Linked DNA regions of Macaca mulatta. Each later gene encodes a partner of the first gene's protein in a complex. Links are inferred from orthologs where the notes say so. Each region holds a gene or a part of one and is shown in the gene's direction. Other genes may lie near its edges.

Evidence for each region.
Region 2: CDHR2 (region 1) and CDHR5 share a complex: the UniProt entries of both Homo sapiens proteins name them as parts of the IMAC/intermicrovillar adhesion complex. The link is inferred for Macaca mulatta from reciprocal best matches to the Homo sapiens genes CDHR2 and CDHR5.
Region 3: CDHR2 (region 1) and ANKS4B share a complex: the UniProt entries of both Homo sapiens proteins name them as parts of the IMAC/intermicrovillar adhesion complex. The link is inferred for Macaca mulatta from reciprocal best matches to the Homo sapiens genes CDHR2 and ANKS4B.
Region 4: CDHR2 (region 1) and USH1C share a complex: the UniProt entries of both Homo sapiens proteins name them as parts of the IMAC/intermicrovillar adhesion complex. The link is inferred for Macaca mulatta from reciprocal best matches to the Homo sapiens genes CDHR2 and USH1C.

Annotation. Positions count from the first base shown.
Region 1 is NC_133411.1:185,529,416-185,534,447, forward strand, and holds part of CDHR2 (cadherin-related family member 2), read left to right. Parts: intron 1-2,390; coding exon 2,391-2,460; intron 2,461-2,610; coding exon 2,611-3,216; intron 3,217-4,127; coding exon 4,128-4,199; intron 4,200-4,965; coding exon 4,966-5,015; intron 5,016-5,032. UniProt on the Homo sapiens protein: Intermicrovillar adhesion molecule that forms, via its extracellular domain, calcium-dependent heterophilic complexes with CDHR5 on adjacent microvilli. Thereby, controls the packing of microvilli at the apical membrane of epithelial cells.
Region 2 is NC_133419.1:511,068-515,337, reverse strand, and holds the end of CDHR5 (cadherin-related family member 5), read left to right. Parts: intron 1-267; coding exon 268-358; intron 359-523; coding exon 524-621; intron 622-799; coding exon 800-1,000; intron 1,001-1,153; coding exon 1,154-1,267; intron 1,268-1,350; coding exon 1,351-1,924; intron 1,925-2,386; coding exon 2,387-2,553; intron 2,554-2,728; coding exon 2,729-3,154; 3' UTR 3,155-3,249; downstream 3,250-4,270. UniProt on the Homo sapiens protein: Intermicrovillar adhesion molecule that forms, via its extracellular domain, calcium-dependent heterophilic complexes with CDHR2 on adjacent microvilli. Thereby, controls the packing of microvilli at the apical membrane of epithelial cells.
Region 3 is NC_133425.1:21,123,854-21,129,652, forward strand, and holds the start of ANKS4B (ankyrin repeat and SAM domain-containing protein 4B), read left to right. Parts: upstream 1-2,094; 5' UTR 2,095-2,169; intron 2,170-2,635; 5' UTR 2,636-2,802; intron 2,803-4,336; 5' UTR 4,337-4,442; intron 4,443-5,799. Other genes in the region: ZP2 (zona pellucida sperm-binding protein 2), read right to left, coding at 1-73. UniProt on the Homo sapiens protein: As part of the intermicrovillar adhesion complex/IMAC plays a role in epithelial brush border differentiation, controlling microvilli organization and length. Plays a role in assembly of the complex.
Region 4 is NC_133419.1:47,920,840-47,926,624, forward strand, and holds the start of USH1C (harmonin), read left to right. Parts: upstream 1-2,051; 5' UTR 2,052-2,418; coding exon 2,419-2,454; intron 2,455-2,708; exon of another isoform or gene 2,709-2,857; intron 2,858-5,785. UniProt on the Homo sapiens protein: Anchoring/scaffolding protein that is a part of the functional network formed by USH1C, USH1G, CDH23 and MYO7A that mediates mechanotransduction in cochlear hair cells. Required for normal development and maintenance of cochlear hair cell bundles.

The DNA of each region.
Region 1 (5,032 bases):
CAGTAAATATCAGCTCTAACTGTCACTCACAAAGTCCCACCTGATACCCTCTTGTCTCCCTGCCACCATTGAAAAGCAAAGGGAAGGGGTGAAAATCAGCACTGCTGGTGTCTACTGCACATCAGGGCATCCCCCAAGGTCGGGGTGGTTATTACTACTGCACATCAGGGCATCCCCCAAGGTCGGGGTGGTTATTACCTTTTTGCATTTATTTATTTATTTATTTATTTATTTATTTATTTATTTATGAGACAGGGTCTCCCTTTGTCACCCAGGCTGGAGTGCAATAGTGCCATCATGGCTCACTGCAGACTCAACCTCCCAGGCTCAAGTGATCCTCTCGCCTCAGCCTCCTGAGTAGTTGGGACTATAGGCACATGCCACCATGCCTGGTTAATTTTTTTATTTTTGTAGAGATGGGGTTTTTCCGTGTTGCCCAGGCTGGTCTGGAACTCCTGAGCTCCAGCAATCCACCCGCCTTGGCTTGCTAAGTAGCTAAGACTATGCGTGCCACCACGCCTGGCTAATTTGGCTAATTTTTAAAATTTATTTTTCATAGAAACAGAGTGTCACTTACTGCCCAGGCCAGTTTTGAACTGTTGGCCTCAAGCGATCCTCTCAACTCAGCCTTACAAAATGCTGAGACTACAGGCATAAGTCACTGAGCCCGGCTTATTACCATTTTATTGATCGAGCAACTGAGGCAGGCCTGGGTGCGGTGGCTCATGCCAAAAACCCCAGTACTTTGGGAGGCCAAGGTGAGAGGATTGCTTGAGCCCAGGAGTTCGAGACTGGGCTGGGCAATATAGCGAGACCCCATCGCTACAAAAATAAAAAATTAGCCAGGCATGGTGGCATGTACCTGCAGTCCCAGCTACTTGGAAGGCTGAGGCAGGTGGATCGTTTCAGCCCAGGAGGTTGAGGCTACTGTGAGCTATGATCATGCCACTGCAATCCAGCCTATGAGACAGAGCAAGACCCTATCTCAAAAAAAGAAACTGAGGCACAGAGAGGTTCAGTACCTTGCCTGGGGTCACAAAATGGGGTTTTGACTCCGATCAGTCTGGTTCTAAGGCTGCCACCAGCCTACAAGTCACCTTCCTCTGGAACAGTATTGTAACAAATGTGCACCTCTGCCATGTCTGTGATGTAGATGGCACCCCATAGGGTTGTGCAGTGCACAGCCAGCACCACTGCACATAGCAGTCCCATGTCCCCTGGATTGGGCTGTGCCATTTTCACACAAGGGTCAGAGAGTGAGACCTCAGAAATGAAGAAATCGCAGCAGAATGAGGACTTGCTGGTTGTCCTTGGGATGGGAGGGCTGCAAAGAGAGAACTTCATTTCCTGAGTGCACAGGTTTCTTCACCCCTGTGAGTAGTCCTCACAATTGCCCTGTTAGTGGGACTACTACCCCGTTTTGCAGATGAGGATGCTGAGGTCCAGAGAGGTCAAGGTCACACATGAGGCAGAGGTGCAGCAAGATGTGACTCAGCGCTCTTAGCCACTTCTGTGAGTTAGGGTGACCTTGAGAATGCAGCTGGTCTTGTGCATGGAGCCAATGATGTCATCTCTGGGAAATTAGCAGCAGAAAAGACATCTAGCTAAGGTGCAAGGACGCTGTCTTCCAAATGTTCACTCTAGGGTTATTCAGAAAAACAAACACCTGTTATGTGACCCACAAACCCGGGAAGGCCTGGCGTGCTCAGGGCATCCCCCAAGCACATGCCAGTGTTAGGGGACACAGGGGAGGGCAGAGTCACCTCCAGGCTGTGACAATAGTTGCAGGGCTCCAGCTGTGCCCAGTGGGCTAGGGCTGGCCACAGAGGTGAGAGCTGAAAACAGCTGGTGTCCAAGGCAGGGGCAGGTCTAAGCTTCTGCAGGTCCCCGGAGCCCAGCTCTGCCTAAGCACAGAGCTGGTGTCGTGGGCTCAGTTGTGTGCAGGAGGGACAGGGGTAGGAGGGGACAAGGGAAACTGTGGGCCTTGGGGCCTTTGTGGACATATAATGGTATTGGTGCCAACACAGTAAATCCGAGAGATGGAAGTCAAACAGGGCCAGGCAGGGCCGCAGGTGGGGACCCAGAACTGTGTTTCCAGAAAGCAGGGTCTAGAACATTCTAAAGCTGTGGTCAGAGAAACAGGAAGCAAGCAGGGCTTCCTGAGGATGGATATGTAAGGCCAAGGTCCCACTGTAGGTCCCGAACCCCAGGTGTGTGACCTGGGCAAGTTCCCTCCTCTCAGAGCCGGTTTCCTCATCTGGGAAGTGGGCAGTGAGGTCTGGGCACTAGCAGAACCGGTGCCTCAGAGCACAGGGACTATTGGTTTCTCAGGTTGGCTCTGGGGAGGGTGAGATGGGATCCCGGGGACTCAGACCTATCTCTGCCTGCAGGACATCAATGACAACCTGCCCATCTTCAACCAGTCCAGCTATAACTTTACGGTGAAGGAGGAGGATCCAGGTACTTGCTCCCTGGGCCAGGAGAGTCACTGGGGCTGGGGCCTGGCGTGGCTTTGTCAGGGTGGATCTGGAGTTCCAAGAGAGGCGAGGACAGAGGAGGCTTCCTATGGCGGGGCCAAGAGTCCCTCAGAGCTCTGCCCCTTGTCCACAGGAGTGCTAGTAGGCGTGGTGAAGGCCTGGGATGCAGACCAGACGGAAGTCAACAACCGCATCAGCTTCAGCCTGTCAGGGAGTGGTGCCAACTACTTCATGATCCGAGGCTTGGTGCTGGGGGCTGGGTGGGCTGAGGGCTACCTCCGGCTGCCCCCGGACGTGAGCCTGGACTACGAGACACAGCCCGTCTTCAACTTGACAGTGAGTGCCGAGAACCCAGACCCCCAGGGGAGTGAGACCATAGTAGACGTCCACGTGAATGTGAAAGATGTGAACGACAATCCCCCCACCCTGGATGTAGCCTCACTCCGGGGCATCCGTGTGGCTGAGAATGGCTCACAGCATGGCCAGGTGGCTGTGGTGGTTGCCTCGGATGTGGACACCAGCGCCCAGCTGGAGATACAACTTGTGAACATTCTCTGCACCAAGGCCGGGGTCGATGTGGGCAGCCTGTGCTGGGGCTGGTTCTCAGTGGTGGCCAACGGCTCTGTGTACATCAACCAGAGCGAAGCCATTGACTACGAGGCCTGTGACCTGGTCACGCTGGTTGTGCGGGCCTGTGACCTAGCCACGGACCCTGGCTTCCAGGCCTACAGCAACAATGGTAAGGTGGCCTGGCCTTGCAGGGCTTGGCAGGCCACAGCTTAGGGGCTGTGGGAAGGAGCCCTGGGCTGGGACTTATAAGATCTGGGCTCAGATCCTGGCTCCAGCCCTTTCCAGCTGCAAATATTGGGAAAGTCCCAAACCCTCTCCAAGCTTCAGTTTCCCTATCTGTCCAGTGGAGTTGGGCAGTAGGGTTGGCTGTGAAGATTCAATGAGAACATGGATGTAAGGCATTTATTGCAGTGCCTGGCATGCAGTAGCATCAAAGTAATGCCATTATTTTGCAAGATGCTGTGAAAGAAAGATCATACTTCAGAGTCAGATGTGTACTTGTATCCCACTTCTGACACCAAATAGCAATAATAGCCACATTAACAACTAGCATATATTGAGTCCTTATGACAGCCAAGAACTACACTGGGCACCTCGTAAGCATTTTTGCATTTCCGCACAACCTGTGGGGTAGGCGGTCCCTATCCAATTTTATAGATGAGGAAACTGAGGCAGAGAATGGGCATTTAAACAACCAGCTTACATAGTTAGAATGTGTCCATATAATGTCATAGGTGAGATCTACCTAGGCTGGGCCCAGTCCTGGCCCACCACTATTGCTGTGTGACTTTGACAAGCTGCTTATTAGCTCTGAGGTCTGGGATAATACTCCCACCCACATAGGCCAGAGAAGACTGAGCAGGCATTCTGGATCAGGAGCAGGGGAGGGGACTGAGCAGGCATTCTGGGTCAGGAGCAGGGGAGGGGACTGGACATGGGGAACACATGGGAGAGAGGCTGCAGGGCATGGGGTTAAGGCTGTGGGGCATGGGGTTGAGGCTGGGGACCACCAGGTTGAGGCCCAGGCTCCTTGGGTCAAGCTCTTGCCCAGAGCCAAAGCCAGCTTATCTTGTCTCCTAGGAAGCCTCCTCATTACCATCGAGGACATAAATGACAATGCACCCTATTTTCTGCCTGAGGAAAAGACTTTTGGTAAGCAGCAACCCCCTTTACACACCGTACCCCTGCTCCATGAGGCCACCTTTGAGCAACCCCCACAGACCCTCCATGGACCCAGGGGGGACTTTTAGAAAGGGGGGAGGCCTCTAATTCTGCCTCTTCCTAGGGCTGCAATAGGAGATGACACTGGAATTTTTTTTTTCTTTTTCTTTTTTTTTCTTTTTGAGATGGAATCTCACTCTGTCGCCCAGGCTAGAGTGCAATGATACGATCTCGGCTCACTGCAATCTCTGCCTCCCAGGTTCAAGCAATTCTCATGCCTCAGTCTCCCGAGTAGCTGGGACTACAGGCATGTGCCACCGTGCCTGGCTAATTTTTGTATTTTTAGTAGAGATGGGGTTTCATTGTGTTGGCCAGGCTGGTCTCGAACTCCTGGCCTCAAATGATTTTCCTGCTTTATGATTTGGCCTCCCAAAGTGCTGGGATTATAGGTGTGAGCCACCACGCCCAGCCAACATTGGAGTTTCCATTCCGGCTCTGCCTGACCTAACTGTCTGGCCCTGGGCCAGACCTTGCCTCTCTATGCCTCCATTACCTCATGGTCCTGTGGGTCTGTGACAATGGGAGGTGGATGACTTGCTAACTTCTGGCCCAGTGGTGACTGTAATGGGGGTCTCTTTTGGTAGAGAGGTTGAGGGCAGATTTAGAGGGATGAGCCCTGAGCTGTGCTCATGGCCAGCCTTGGTCCAGGTGGGCAGTGTCCCAACCCTGCTGACCCCCTTCCCATTCACACCTGCAGTGATCATCCCTGAACTTGTGCTGCCCAACCGGGAGGTGGCTTCTGTCCGGGTAAGTTCTTGGCTCCA
Region 2 (4,270 bases), on another chromosome or scaffold:
CTTAGCCGTCAAGACAAGCATCGTGCAAATGGAACTCAGTATCTTTGGGCAACTTATTCGTTAGTGAGGGACCCACAGGGGTGTGACTCACTGTGATACTGGGACAAGGGACAGTCCTAGACAGGCAAGGATGCCCGGCCACCAGCGGGACTGGGCCCCTCCTCAGCCAGCCCTGCCCTGGCTGACCTTGATGGGGAGCCAGAGGGGCCAGGTTGGGGCCATCCACCCCAGCCTCACGACGTGCCCTCCTCTCCACCATCCTTGAAGCCATCCCCCCTCGTCCTGCGTCCCGGACCCATCTACGCTGAGGATGGAGACCGCGGCATCAACCAAGCCATCATCTACAGCATCTTCAGTGGTGAGTGGGGCCCAGCCCTCAACAATGCCCCGGACCCCTCTCTGTCCCTGTCTCTGTCCCCACCTTGGGCTGGGGAAGCCCCAGGGGCACCTGCCAGCAAGGCAGAGCTGGCTGGGTCCCTGGGCCTCAGGAGGCCGGGACTGAGCACTTCCATCGTCCTCCCAGGAAACGTGAACGGTACATTTGTCATCCACCGAGACTCCGGCAACCTCACCATGGCCAGGAGTGTCCCCAGAGCCATGACCTTTCTTCTGCTGGTGAAGGTGAGGTAGGGACCTGCACGGGGGTCAGGGCAGTGGGGGCAGGGTGGAAGGTAGGGCGGGGGTCAGGGCGGGGGGGCAGGGCCCCTGCCAAGTCTGCATCTATTCTTCCTGAGCCCCAGGCTTCAGCACCAGCTCCACCGTCAACCCCACGAGTCACGGCTGCCTCCCCCGCCTCCAGGGCCAGCAGGCCGACCTTGCCCGCTACTCAGTGACCCAGGTCACCGTGGAGGCTGTGGCTGCAGCCGGGAGCCCGCCCCGCTTCCCCCAGAGCCTGTACCGTGGCACCGTGGCACTTGGCGCTGGAGCAGGTGTTGTGGTCAAGGATGCAGCTGCCCCCTCTCAGCCTCTGAGGGTCCAGGCTCGGGACCCGGAGTTCTCGGTAGGTAGCACACGCAAGGCTGATGCCTGCCGCCCCCACGGCAGCCTTCCTGTTGCCCAGGGTCCCTGGGTCCACCCGGCCTCCCCTCTGTGGGTGGGTCAGGGCTGCAGATGGGAGGCAGCCTGGCCGGGGACTCAATGAAACCCTGTCCAGGACCTCAACTCGGCCATCACGTATCGAATTACCAACCACTCACATTTCCGGATGGAGGGAGAGGTTGTGCTGACCACCACCACACTGACCCAGGCGGGGGCCTTCTACGCAGAGGTGAAGGGCAGGGCAGGTGGGCATCTCCAAGGGTGTGGGGCTTAAAGACGTGCCCAGGAGAGACAAGCCCCTTCCTGCCCTAGGTTGAGGCCAAAAATACAGTGACCTCTGGCACTGCGACCACAGTCATTGAGATACAAGTTTCCGAACAGGAGCCCCCCTCCACAGGTGAGCCCCCATCCCCAGAGACTGGAGGAACAACTGGGCCCTGGACCAGCACCACTTCCGAGGCCCCCAGACCCCCTGTGCCCTCCCAGGGACCCTCCACAACCAGCTCTGGGGGAGGCACAGGCCCTCATCCACCCTCTGGCACAACTCTGAGGCCACCAACCTCGTCCACACCCGGGAGGCCCCCCGGTGTGGGAACCAGCACCTCCCACCAACCAGCCACACCCGGTGGCGGCACAGCACAGACCCCAAAGCCAGGAACCTCTCAGCCGATGCCCCCCGGTGTGGGAACCAGCACGTCCCACCAACCAGCCACACCCGGTGGTGGCACAGCTCAGACCCCAGAGCCAGGAACCTCTCAGCCGATGCCCCCCGGTGTGGGAACCAGCACATCCCACCAACCAGCCACACCCGGTGGTGGCACAGCTCAGACCCCAGAGCCAGGAACCTCTCTGCCGATGCCCCCCAGCAGGAACACCCCATCCTCAGGTAGCACCCACTCCGTTGCCTTCCCTCCCTGGCTCAGATCACTGGGTGGTAGGGAAATGCTGTAGGAAGGGTCCACCCCAGGCTGACCTGGCCTGACTATGAAATCCCAGAGGGGTCTGTTTGGGACTGACAGACACAGACAGGCCAAAGGCCCTCAGTGAGGTGAACTGTGATGTGTGTAGGACAGAAGCCAGATTTGGGGTCCAACGAATCCCATGATTCCCACAGCTGCCGGCTCACCCTGCAGGCCCCTGCCCCTCCTGTGAGCAGCCTCTTTGTTGGGGGGGGGGAGCCCAGGGTCTCACTGGGACACACAGGCCCCTCCAGCCAGGGTCAGCAGAGCCTGAGATTTGGGAGACAGCCCAGGCCTGGGTGATTTCCAAGTGTCTCAAGCCTGGCACAGGTTGGCATGGGGAATGCCTGGGGTGCTCAACAGTGCGGGGGTGATGGCATTTTCCACAGCGATGCCAGGTGGCGGCCCCTCGGAGGACAAGCGCTTCTCAGTGGTGGACATGGCAGCCCTGGGTGGGGTGCTGGGTGCACTGCTGCTGCTGGCTCTCCTTGGCCTCACTGTCCTTGTCCACAAGCACTACGGCTCCCGGCTCAAGTGCTGCTCCGGCAAAGCTCCGGTGAGGCCCAGGGTGGAGGGCAGGGCAGGCGACCCGCAGGGAGTGGGGGACAGGAGAGGGGAGGGCAGAGGGGAATATGTGGAGGCGGAGGGGTGTCCACCGTGGAATGAGGGTGTGGAGAGGCCACAAGGCAGCAGAGACCCAGGGACCCCGCTGACGCCTTCACTCCTGCTAGCAGGAACCCCAGCCCTCAGGCTATGACAACCAGGCGTTCCTCCCTGACGACGAGGCCAACTGGGCGCCTGCCCCCAGCCCCACGAGCGACGCCAAGCCCGCGGAGGCACCGCCGACGCCCGCGGAGCCCGCGCCCCCTGGCCCCGCGCCCTCGGGCAGTGCCCCTGAGGCCCCGGCAGCGGCCGTAGCCGGGGGAAGCCCCGCAGCGGTGAGGTCCATCCTGACGAAGGAGCGGCGGCCGGAGGGCGGGTACAAGGCCGTGTGGTTCGGCGAGGACATCGGGGCGGAGGCAGACGTGGTCGTTCTCAACACGCCCACCCTGGACGTGGATGGCGCCAGCGACTCCGGCAGCGGCGACGAGGGCGAGGGCGCGGGGCCTGGCAGGGGTCCCCACGATGAGCCCGGCGGCGATGACTCGTACATCTAAGCGGCCCCTCCACCCTCTTCCCCGGCCGCGCGGGCGCTAGAGGTCCCGCTCCCCTAACCCCCGACCCAAGGCAGAATAAAGCAAGGCTCCCCAAACCCAGGCCGTGGCGTGGGGCGGGCGCGCGGGTCCGTGCGGGCCCCATTTGCTCGCGTCCCCCATCGTCCTCGGCGCTCGAGCCCGGGTGTGCAGACGGGGGTGGCGGGTCCCGCCGCGCTGTCCCCACCCGAAGGCTGCAACGCTTCCCGTAAACCACCTGCTGTGCCCGCCGTCTTCCCGAGGCTCCGCGCCAGCTGGCCCGCGAAGTTCCTCTCCTGCTCTCACCACAGCCGGAGAGGGCACTCCCCTCCCCCAGTCTGCACTGGGGATCTCAGGCACCCGCTCAACTCAGACCTACCACTCCCGACCCGACACAGAGATTGCCTGGGGAGGCTGAAGAGCCAACGCAAATCCCCAAGACGATGCGCTTGGAAGCCAGTGGTCTCAAACATCTGCCGGGCTGGGGGTCCTAGTCCCCTTCTGAAATCTACATGGTTGGGTTGGGGCGCAGCATTAAACACCCACCCAGAGGCCTGCACTGAGGCACGCGGGGGTCGGTGCGCGCGAGTGGCCTGAGCAGGAGCCGGACCAGGAGGCCTAGGGGTGAGAGACACCTCCCGGTCGCTTCTCCCAAGGCCAGAGCCCAGGCTGGCCACCCATGCCCAGAACCATCAAGGGGTCCCTTGTGGGTCGTCAGCACTGTCCCTGATGAAAAGACACTATTAATTCCTTTCCAAATGTTTTAATTGCGAGAGCGTCTGATATTCTTGTCTGAACAATCTAAAGAACCCAAAGGGGGCCGCATGGTGGCTCCCGCCTGTAATCCCAGTACTTTGGGAGGCCAAGGCGGGTGGATCAGCTGAGGTCAGGAGTTCAAGACTAGCTTGACCAACTTAGAGAAACCCCGTCTCTACTAAAAATACAAAATTAGCCGGGCATGGTGGCTCATGCCTGTAATCCCAGCTACTCGGGAGCCTGAGACGGGAGAATCACTTGAACCCATGAGGTGGAGGTTGTGGTGGGCCAAGATTGTGCCACTGCACTCCAGCCTGGGCAACAAAAGCGAAACTCCATCTCAAA
Region 3 (5,799 bases), on another chromosome or scaffold:
CTGTGTTTTTATAGCAGGAATCCAGTCGCATCAACAAGCTCTCCCCATTGTGGGCACCTGACTCTTCTCCCATTCTCCCAGCTGAAAGGGAAGGATTGGGGAAGGAAGTGGCCTCTCTGATTCCTGACAGATTGTGCCGGGTATTCTGCCAGCTGCCCCTGTGGGCCAGGCATGAAATCAGAGTTCGCGGAAATCAGCTGCAGGTGAGTAAATTGGTGTTTTCCCTATAACTTCGGGGGAAATTAGGATCTTTTGGGCAAATTATTTACAACTGCAATGTAGAGTGAAAGAGAATCATGGGCTTTGTTGAGAAAAAAACAAGTCTTGTTCACATCACTAAACATTTTTTTGAGATACAGTTTCACTCTGTCACCCAGGCTGGAGTGCATTGGTGGAATCTTGGCTCACTGCAGCCTCCGCCTCCTGGGTTCAAGCAATTCTCCTGCCTCAGCCTCCTGAGTAGCTGGGATTACAGGTGCGTGCCACCACACCTGGCTAATTTTTGTATTTTTAGTAGAGAGAGGGTTTCACCATGTTGGTCAGGCTGGTCTCGAACTCCTGAATTAGGTGATCTGCCCACCTCGGCCTCCTAAAGTGCTGGGATTACAGCCATGAGTCATTGCACCTAAACTAAAACCTTTTAAGTAACATCTAGTCTCCTGGCTACTGCAGAAGTTACCCTGATAATGCACATGAAATATCTTTAAAAAAATGAATGAACCCTTATTGACCCCAAGTGTAAAAGCTTAAGCTTACAGCAAAAAAATACAATTACAGAAGGATACAGAGAAAAGGCAAAAGTCACTCATAATAGTACCACTGCTAATATTTAGGTGGGTAACTTTACAGACATGTTTCTACAAACACCACATACAATTTTTTAAAAAACTGGGAGGAAAGTTTAAATACTGTTTTGTAATCTGCCACTGTCACTTTATAACCTATTAAACATAAAGCTCTCTGTTACCATTTTAGGGTGGCCTAGTCTTCAATGTTGAGATAAATCTGTGTTTATATAACTTCCGTAATTATGAGCATTAAGGTAGCTTGCAATTTTTCATCATTATAAGCAATAACATCATGAGCATTCTGATACATTTCCTTGGTTAACCCTCAAGATAAATTCCTCAAAGTAAAACTTCTGGGTAAAAGGGAGTAGTGATCTAATAAGAATGTTTTGTTGTTGTAAAGCACTTGTAAGTTTCCCAGTGGGGAAACTGAGGCAAGGAAACTTGCCCCAACAGTGTCAGGGGCCAGGTGGAGAACTCAGATTTCCTGAGGCCTGATCAATGTATTTTTTTCAACATCTCTCATTGCTCTTTGAGATAACTAGATGTCTGCAGCCCATGTTCTAAAATAGGTGAATATAATGCCTAGACTCTATACAAGTGATGGGTGACATTTGCAATTACTAGGTTGGTGCAAAAGTGATTGTGGTTTTTGCCACTACTTTTATTTATTTATTTATTTGAGATGGAGTCTCGCTCTGTCACTCAGGCTGGAGTGCAGTGGCGCGATCACGGCTCACTGCAGCCTCCGCCTCCCGGGTTCAAGCGATTTTCCTGCCTCAGCCTTCCCAGTAGCAGGCGCCCACCACCACGCCCAGATAATTTTTGTGTTTTTAGTAGAGACAGGGTTCCACCATGTTGGCCAGGTTGGTCTCGAACTCCTAGCTTCAAGTGATCCACCTGCCTCAGCCTCCCAAAGTGCTGGGATTACAGGCGTGAACCACTGCGCCTGGCCCTTTGCCACTACTTTTAATGGCAAAAAACAATTATTTCTGCATCAACCTAAACAGTATTGATTCATGTGTTGCCTTTGAGGAGTAACCCGAGGCATCTGAAATAACACTGTAGATTAAAATGTTTCCCCGACTCCTTGGTCAAAAGGATCACATGGAGCTCTCATTAATGTCACAGATTCCTGAGTCCCACCCAAAGGCTACTGAATTGGACTCTCCAGAGGACGTGCCTGGGAAATATTTGCTTAACGAGCACCACAGGTGATTCTTATAATCAGGAAAACCTGGAAAATACCTGGAGGGAGGGAGGGAGGCGAGAAAATCTGTGGTGGCCAGTGGTTAACCTCTTTACAGGAATTGGTAGATTACATCCCAGTGGAATTGGGAAGAGGGAGCAAAATACAGACGAGTTTTTGGGGATAGAGATGGTAAAATGATTTCATTTTACAGCCAAAGCATGATAGCAATAGTTTCTCTTTCTATGCATATTTTCTGAAAAGTGGCACCATTTCTGCAAATGTAATTCATTACCGCAACGGTTAAGACTATGAGGAGAAGACATTAGAGGGAAAAGCATAGATGTGAGACTCAGAGCCCTGTTGAGAAGGTGGTCAGAGAAGTGATGGGTTAATGTGCTTATTCAGCCTCCCTCAGACCCCACCTCCCTCTCCACCCTGCTACGCGCTCCCCTCAAGATGGCGTCTTTTCTCCAGAGTGGGAAGTTTTTGTCTTGGAAAGGGCGACTTTGGTCAGAGCCCCCAAATTATGGGTTTCTAAAAGGTTAAGGGGCAGCACAGAGACCCCAAGCAGGAGATGCGGTGAGAAAGCCCACTGTGGCCTGGTGAAGCTGGTATGTGCACCAGAGATTAATTTTGTTTGTCTCACCTAACCCAGACCTGTGGTGTGCTAGGGACAGCCACCGAACAAATGGCTCCGGGCCCATGAGCATCAATGTCTAGGGTTCTGCTCTGGAAAAAGCAGGAAGCTACAGTGTGTTCAGCAGCTGACTTTGAACACAGGAAGAAATAGCTGCTCCGTAAAACAGTGTGTTCTATCAGGAGGTAGGAAAAACTAAAGTCTTTACAAAAATGATTCTTAATATTCTATTCTCACTTATAAGTGAGAGCTGAACAATGAGGACACAGGGAGGGGAACAACACACACTGGGTCCTGGTGGCAGGGGTTGGGGGGCCGGGGGATGGAGAGCATCAAAATAAATAGCTAATGCATGCGGGGCTCAATACTTAGGTGATGGGTTGATGGGTGCAGTAAACCACCATGGCACACATTTACCTATGTAACAAACCTGCACGTCCTGTACATGTATCCGGGAACTTTGAATTAAATTTTAAAAAATTGCACTAAATAGGCCCAGTGCGGTGGCTCACACCTGTAATCCCAGCACTTTGGGAGGTCAAGGCAGGCAGATCACCTGAGGTCAGGAGTTTGAGACCAGCCTTGCCAACATGGTGATACCCTGTCTCTACCCAAAATACAAATATTAGCTGGGCATGGCGGCACACACCTGTAAATCCAGCTACTCGGGAGGCTGAGGTAGGAGAATCGCTTGAACCCAGGAGGCGGAGGCTGCAGTGAGTCAAGATTGTGCTCACGCCATTCTCCTGCCTCAGCCTCCAGAGTAGCTGGGACTACAGGTGCCCGCCACCACGCCTGGCTAATTTTTGTATTTTTAGTAGAGATGGGATTTCGCCATGTTAGCCAGGTTGGTCTCCTGACCTCGTGATCTGCCCGCCTAAGCCTCCCAAAGTGCTGGGATTAGTGGCTGATACAGTGTTTCTTGACTCATTGATTTATAGAAATAACACTGATTAGCTGGGTACAGTGGCTCACACCTGTAGTCACGGCGACTCAGGAGGCTGAGGTGGGAGGATAGCTTGAGCTCAGGACTTTTAAGACCAGTCTGGGCAGCATAGCAAGACCCCATCTCAAAAAAACAAAAACAAAAACAAAAAAAACACTGATTAGTGATTGGCTATACATTGTTGAACTATAGGGTGCGAGTAATGGCGTCCAGTCTGGGCAACAAGAGTGAAACTCTGTCTCAAAAAAAAAAAAAAAAAGACACTAAATAAACAGCAGACCTCATTCAAATATATGCTTTCCACACTCTTTTTAATGAACCTTTTAAAATTTGCTAATTTATTATTATAAGGTGTTCCCTCTCCTCTTCTCTGCCCTGGGCTCTATGTAAGTATCATGAAACCATTTCTCTCCTGCTAACCACCAGGCATTTCTTGAAGGGAGTCTCATGCATAAAAGAAAGACTAGTTTTGTTGCCTCATCTGGGCAGATGCCTTCTTTCTGAAGTGCAGTTCTTATAAATGACAGTTTATAACTCTTAAATTCTGAATCTGCTGTCCTTGTTTTCCACAACAATTATAAAAATATTTTTGAAAGACAATCTAAATATCACCATTTAGAGATGATTGGATAAACTATGGAATACTCTTCAGCTACTGCAAATGATTCTATAGGCTCATTCAGATCTATGAATACTGATGTGAAAGATACCTGCAATAAAACTTGAATTTCAGGGCTATATATCTACTATGCTTTCATGTTTTGCTTTAATAGGAAAACGAAAAACCTGTCGACCTAAAGGAAGAAGATAATATAATTTTAAAGAGTTTACTTGAGCCAAAGTGTGGACAGCTGCCCGGGAAACACTTCCCTTGCCTTGGTGAGTTCTCCCCTTACAAGTTACAAGTGGGTTCTTTGTTTTTTGTTTTGTTTTGTTTTTGAGATGGAGTCTTGCTCTGTTGCCCGGGCTGGAGTGCAGTGGTGCAATCTTGGCTCACTGCAAGCTCTGCCTCCTGAGTTCACGCCATTCTCCTGCCTCAGCCTCCCAAGTAGCTGGGACTACAGGTGCTTGCCACTACGCCCGGCTAATTTTTTGTATTTTTAGTAGAGACGGGGTTTCACCATGTTAGCCAGGATGGTCTCCTGACCTCGTAATCTGCCTGCCTCGGCCTCCCAAAGTGCTGGGATTAGTGGCTGATATGGTGTTTCTTGACTCATTGATTTATAGAAATAACACTGATTAGCTGGGTACAGTGGCTCACACCTGTAGTCACAGCGACTCAGTACGCTGAGGTGGGAGGATAGCTTGAGCCCAGGACTTTTAAGACCAGTCTGGGCAGCATAGCAAGACCCCATCTCAAAAAAAAAAAAAGAACACTGATTAGTGATTGGCTATACATTGTTGAACTATAGGGTACGAATAATGGCATCTAGCGTATGGTATGAGTTATGGTGTCCAGTGTATGGCGTAGTTAGGTTAATTTTATGGCTCCTTGGTGTCAGTGTAGAGCCCATATATCAAGTAGCTCCAAGAGATAATTACTGAGCCTTAGGAGGAAGTAAGGTATGATAGTTGTCATGTTTCAATGCCTCTCTGGGCCTGATAATTTAAAGGGGCTTTGCATTCTTCAGATACAAAGTTTATTTTCTTTCTCAAACCTATGTGCATATTTATACTTTATGTGTCTGCATGTGGGTCTATACATATGTATTTGGATTACAAGTCAAGAAAGTTGTCCCAGAGAGTTGACAGCGTCATCCAGGAAAGGAGAGGGTTGCCAGCGTCCGGGGAGTCCACGTGGCTGTGCTGGGCATTTGCAACCATTGTCTGTTCTGATTTGTTCATGCTTTTGCTGTATGGGTTTTAAATACATTGAATATCATCCCCGGGAAAAGGATTAAGAAGATGCGAGGGTTGGAGCACAGAAAACATTTCCCCAGAATATGGTGCCTGGGCATGCCGAGTGCTTTGGAAAATCAAAAGGCTTTAGAAATAAGCCTCAGAATCAAGGTCTCTCTATCCTTGCCTTGTTCCCTTTCCACCCACAAAGTACAGGAAGGAACTCTCTCTGGAATTTCTTTAGTTGACCTAGAAAGCTTTTTTTTTTTTTTTTTTTGATAGGGCTTTGCTCTTGTTGCCCAGGCTGGAGTGCAATGGCATGATCTGGGCTCACTGCAACCTCCCTCACCCAGGTTCAAGTGATTCTCCTAAGCCTGGCTAATTGTGGGCTTTTTGT
Region 4 (5,785 bases), on another chromosome or scaffold:
TCTCTAGGGGAGCAAAGAGGTAGCCTGTGCAAACTCCAGCTCCCCTTACCTGGGTCCTGGAAGCCCAATACCAGAGACCCAAGATGCGGGTATGAGTCTGACCCTATCCTCTCCTTTTACAGAGGGCCATGCTGCGGCCCTGGGACATGCCACTCAGGGGTCAGTGGTCAATAGCAGAGCCTGTGGAGTCCTAGCCTATGTCCCACCACGCCCCACCTCAACTTCCACCTGGGTCTCCACATCCCTATCCTATGACCAGTTTTGAGCACCTCTAAGGAATGAATCATGCCTTAGTCCTCTGAATGCCCAGCACAATCTCCTGCCCTAGCTCAGGAAATGACGACTGAATAATAAATGTGTTTCATACTCCTATGTTGTTGCCACCATCAAGGCCAAACTTTGACAAAACAACTTTATATGTGTGAACAAGGTCCACTGTCTGCCCAGGAGGAATTTTAAAATGGTGAAAACATGGGACTGAGCACCTGGGGAACCTGTACATCGTTCACTTCATCAGCACTTAGGGAACACCAACTAAATGCCAGGTCTTACATAGGATGATGATGTTGGTGGTGGTGGTGGTGGTATTGGCCCCAGTAGACTCCTAGGCAAGGGCATAGATTTGAGATGCATTCATTCATTCATTCATTCATTCATTCATTCACTCAACAAATTTGTTTGGCATTGATTCCATGTCATGCATTGTTCTAGGCATATAGTGGTAAAGAAAGCACACATAGCTATCTTCACACAGGAGGAAGCTAGGGGCACAGATAGGAAGATGAAGAGGAAAGAGCTAAGGATGCAGCCTTAAGGAACACTGGTTAAGAAATAGGCAAAAGCTGATTGTCTCCAAGGAAGCTTGAAAAAAAAAATTCATGGAAAGGAGAACTAGGTCTCAATGCTATTCTCAAAACAAAGCAGGGGGCATTTTAAGGTGGAGGGAGTCTGTGGGGGTGATGACCAATGTAAAATAAGGATTGGGGTGGCAGGTGAACAGCATTCTCCTGGGTAAGAACATTCACTCACCTCTGCCAGGATTCTAAATACAAAATAAACAGCCATATGACATTCTTTTTCAATGTAGAGAATCAATGAAGTAAGTCAGAGGGCAATGCATTTTGTGTGGCCTTTTCTGGACCATTCAAAAATCCCACAAGTCTTTCCCTTTTATCACTGACTTAATAGTTAATACTAAGGTGAGAAAACAGATCATATTTTAAGGCTCTTCTTCAAGAGGGATTTACATCTTAAACTAGGCAATAATTTAGCCCAAACAAAAATAGTGTGCTTGTAAAACTTCAGCTATTGGGGAAAGGGATGCAGAGGGGTGTTTAGGTGCCCCAAAGTTACAATTTTAAGTGGTTACCTGATGTAAGCTGCTGTCCATCTCCCTGCCCCTGCGCTTGACAGGGTGCAAAGGGCGCAGGTGCCTCCCTGGGTTAAGTTCAGGCACAAGCCCCATACTTAACAGCCCCTGATTTACACGTTTTTATCACCCCTCTCCTAGCCCCTCTTTCCTTTCATTCCTTTCCAGGCCTGGTTCATCCTTGTCTTTGCACCCAGCACCAGACCTAGGAGTTAAGCAAATGTTGACCAAATTGAATTAAATGAACCAGAGGGTCTGGGCCCTGGGTGAAGGTCAGCCATAGATCAAAATGTCACTGCCAGGCTCCGCCAGGCTTCGATGGATATGGGAGTGTGTTGGGTTTGGGTTTTGTTTTGTCTTGTTTTGTTGGGAGTGGAGGTGTTAGGGAAGGTGGGAGGGGAAATCACTTGAGAGGGCCATTCCCATACCCACTGGTTCAGACCCCTGCGGCCCACAGTAAAACCTGGCCCTGCCCCCAAGGAATTCACAGAGCAAGGATTGATTTCTCCCTGGTGGAAAAGTGCAGGAGGAAGCTAGGACAGAAGGTACGTTGAAGGTGAAGGCGTAGCAAGGGCTGACAGTCCAGGAGGGCCATGAGCCCTCCGGAGTATCCAGAGAAGATGGACTAGATTGCCCCGCCCCCTGCCCACCCGTGTGAATAGTTTCCGGATCTCTCTATTCCAGTCATCACAAAAAGTCCCAAACCTCCTCCCTACATCTCCACGATCTTCTTCCTCAAACGCATGTGATCAGGTACCACGTCAAGAGAAATACCAGCTTGAAGCCCAGCTACTGCCACCACAGGCCCATAGGCACACTGGGTCCATTTGCTCCCAGGCTTCAGGGGGAGGCGACGATTGAGCACCTGCAACTCTAGCCTCGCAGCGGCCCCGCCCCACAGCGGCCCGGCCCCGCCCCTCCGCGCTCAGGCCGCGTCCCCAGCTCGGAGGGCGGCTGGCCGGGTCGCGGTCGCGGTTCCTTCCAGCTCCTGGCAGCCGGGCACCCGAAGGAACCGGTCGTTCAACGACACAGCTGGACCTGGCCCAGCCATGGACCGAAAAGTGGCCCGAGAATTCCGGCATAAGGTCAGAGCTGTGGGGCGCCCCAGGCTTCTGGGACTCCGGAGTCCTGGGCGCGGTGGGTAAGGGGTGGACACCCCGGCACTGCCCCTCCCTTTTCCGGCCCCACCTGATGGCTCTGGGTGGGCTGGGACACCCGAAGGTCGTTTGACTGGCAGCAGGGATCCCCAGTAAAGTGAGGGAGGGAACACGGGGACTCCGGGCTCAGGTACTGCTAAACAGATCGATCTTCTGCCAAGCTTTCTCCCTCTGCCTTCCAGGGGCGGGGACGTCTCGGGGGTTTGAATTCCTTCCAGTCTTGGCCGCTTCTCTGAGGTGCCCCCTTTGTGGGCAAGTCCCTCTCCTTCCTAGTGCCCCCAGCTCAGGGCTGATGAGGCTTGTGGAGAGAGTCTGGGGCAGTATCTGAGAGGTGAGTGTTGGGAGAAGGGAAACTAGACGTCTCTCTCTCTGCCTTTTGACCTCAGAACATGAGTTAGAAGCATTTCAGCCCTGCCTGCCTAAGGGCGTTTCTTAGGGCCTGAGAAGTAGCTGAGGAGCTGGTGCTGACCCGGGTGCGGTGGGGAGGAAGGGAGGAGGTATTGAGGGCGTGGGAGCTGGGCTCTGGCCAGCCAGATCCTTCAGGCAGAGCCGGGTCCACCCTGGCGTGTCCCAGTGAGGGGCCTTACTGGTGGTCTGGGATCCGAAAGGACCATCACTGGAAGCGGCTGGATTTTACACAGGGCATTTCCAGAACAATTCACAAAGCTATGCAGAATCTGCTGAGGCCCTGAGACCAGAGAGGGTCATCAAAGATATCCAGCCGACCTCTTCACCAGGCCTTAGGATGCCTCTGAGTCTGGGGATGAAGCCACGGAGGGTTGGGGGAGTGGGGGTGGAATCTGGATCTCCCCACAGGCCCTGCCTAAGGGGCAGGTAACTATTAACAACTGTGTGACCCAAGGCTCTCCCAAAGACCCCAGGGGGGCAGTGTCTTTAGACCAAGCCAAACCTCTTCCTGGTCTGAGGACTGAGCTCAGGTAGGGAAGGTCAGGGTCCTTAACCCCTTCCTTCCCATAGAGAGGCCCATAGGAGCCCAAGGAGCCAGCCAGAGTAGGGGCCGCAGGGGCTTGGGGCCAAGGGCCCAGGGTCAATTATTCATTTAATAATCATGTTTTGAGCATCCTCTCAGCGATACCCAGTCTGTGCCCTCAAATTGCTGGTGGTGTAGGTGGGAAGCAGACTCTACTCTGGTAATTACCCATGTCTGGGTGCTGCCTGTTGGGGCCAAGCTTTTGTAGGGGCACAAAGGGACAGCTCAAACTGGCAGAAGGCTCCTGAAAACATGGTCTTGGGCATCCCTGGTCCTGCTCCCACGGGTGGGCGATAGCTGGAAGTTCAGTAGGAATTTAGGGGCTGGCGAATGCCAAGGGGAGCTTGAGACAGCATTCACCGGTACATCCTGTTGCAAAGAGACATGTCGGAAGAAATTTCAGCCGCTAAGGACATTTTGTGAGTGTAGATTTCAGGCAACCCAGTTTGAAGGAGCTCAACCTTCCGTCCCCCAACCCAAGACTCAGGGTTGAATTTCACTTTCCTGCCCCTGGCCTGAAATAATGTCAGGTCTTCTGCCTTCACTCTGTGGGGTACCTACTCTGTCTCTTTTGCAAGAATCGTCTCCTGGGTCCCTGGTGTCTGATGCAGACCCTGGGTTTGCCCTGTTCCTCTTCCCCAGGTCCCACAGGCTTCAAAGGGCCTCCGACCTCCATGTTTCCTCTGCCCTACTCTTCCTCATCACAAGAGTCATTACTTATTAATATCCCTGTGTGCTGGCAGGGCAGGCGCCATGTGCTAGGCAAGGCCCAGGCTGGACTTTGTGCCTTGCTGCCTTGGAGACAGCCACAGCCTTCCCCTCCCAGGCTGGGGATCATCCAGGAACTGGGAGAGAGGATGAAGCAGCAGGGGATAGAGAGGAGGCACTCAGATATGCTGGGAGAAATTTACAGCTTGCTGTTGTTTGCTTTGTAGGGGTACCTTCCTTAGTGTTTTGGAGGAAATGGTTTATGATCTAAATCCTTGGTTGTTGGAGGTAATATTTAAGGTAGTGTGTTATAATGGAAAATGCTGTGTGACCTTGAGCAACTCAATTAATCTCTCTGTGCCTCAGTGCTCTTATTTGTGAAAAGAGATAACAATATTTAACTAATAAGGTTATCATGAATGTTGAATGAGATCTACATGTGTGTGGGGAGCTTAAACAGACCCTAGCACTTAGGGAGCCCTCAATAAATGTCCACTGTTATTTATTATCTGGAGTTAGCAGAACTGGGACCATATCTTAGCCCTGTTACTGTCAGGAAGACCTTGGCCAAGCCACCCACTCTCCCTGAGTTTTAGTTTCTTCAGCTGTGAGATGGAGTTTGTGGTACTTACCTCACAAGACAGACAAGACTGACTAGCAATTAAAGTACTGGCTGCTCTGGGCCCACAGTAACCACACTTTTTCCAACTGATACCTGCAGAGTGTCCAGTGTGAGCCAACAGACTCCAGGCATCAACTCCTTTTGATTTGTGAAGTTACCCCAAGGTTGCCAGGAGCACTTGCATGCCCTTCCAATAACTAGTAGCAACCTTGGGCCAGGATTTGGGGGAGCAGGGCTTGGTCAGAGACTGTTTTCTCCCTCAGAGAAGCAGCTTTCAAAAGGAGACTGCTCCTCTGTTCGCAGCACCAGCACATGGCAGGAACTTGGTTACTCATTTGCTTAAAAGTATTTATTGCCTCTTCAGCAGTCACACATTTATGAGCATAGCTGTGTACTCTGCCTGAGGCCAGGCATTGGACGACCTGGTGGGATGAATAAGAAGATCAGAAACAGCCACCACTCTCTAGGAATTTGCTAATCATTCATTCATTCACATAGGCAATAAATATTGACTGAGTTCTCAATATATGCCAGGCAGTACTCTAAGCACTGAAAAACAAAATAATGCCCTTGCTCTCTTAGACAGTACATTCTAGTGGGGAGGACAGACAGTTAAAAGGAAATCGACAAAAGTATCGTGTAATGCCAGGTAGTGATAAATTATATGAAGAAATAAACTAAGATGGGGAGAGAGATAATAAGTAACAAGGTGGGCAGTCAGGAAGGCCTCTCTGAAGAGGTGACGTCTGAGCAGAGACCTGGAATAAGTGAGGAGAGGAGCCACGGGGATACATGTAGAAGAGCGTTCCCCAAAGTGGAAGCAGCAAGTGCGAAGGCGCTGAGGCCAGCAGATGCCTGCCTGTATGGAACAGCAAGTAGGACAGCGTGTCCCAGAGGAATCATTTGTAGATAATGGTGAGAAATGGGTCAGAGGGGTG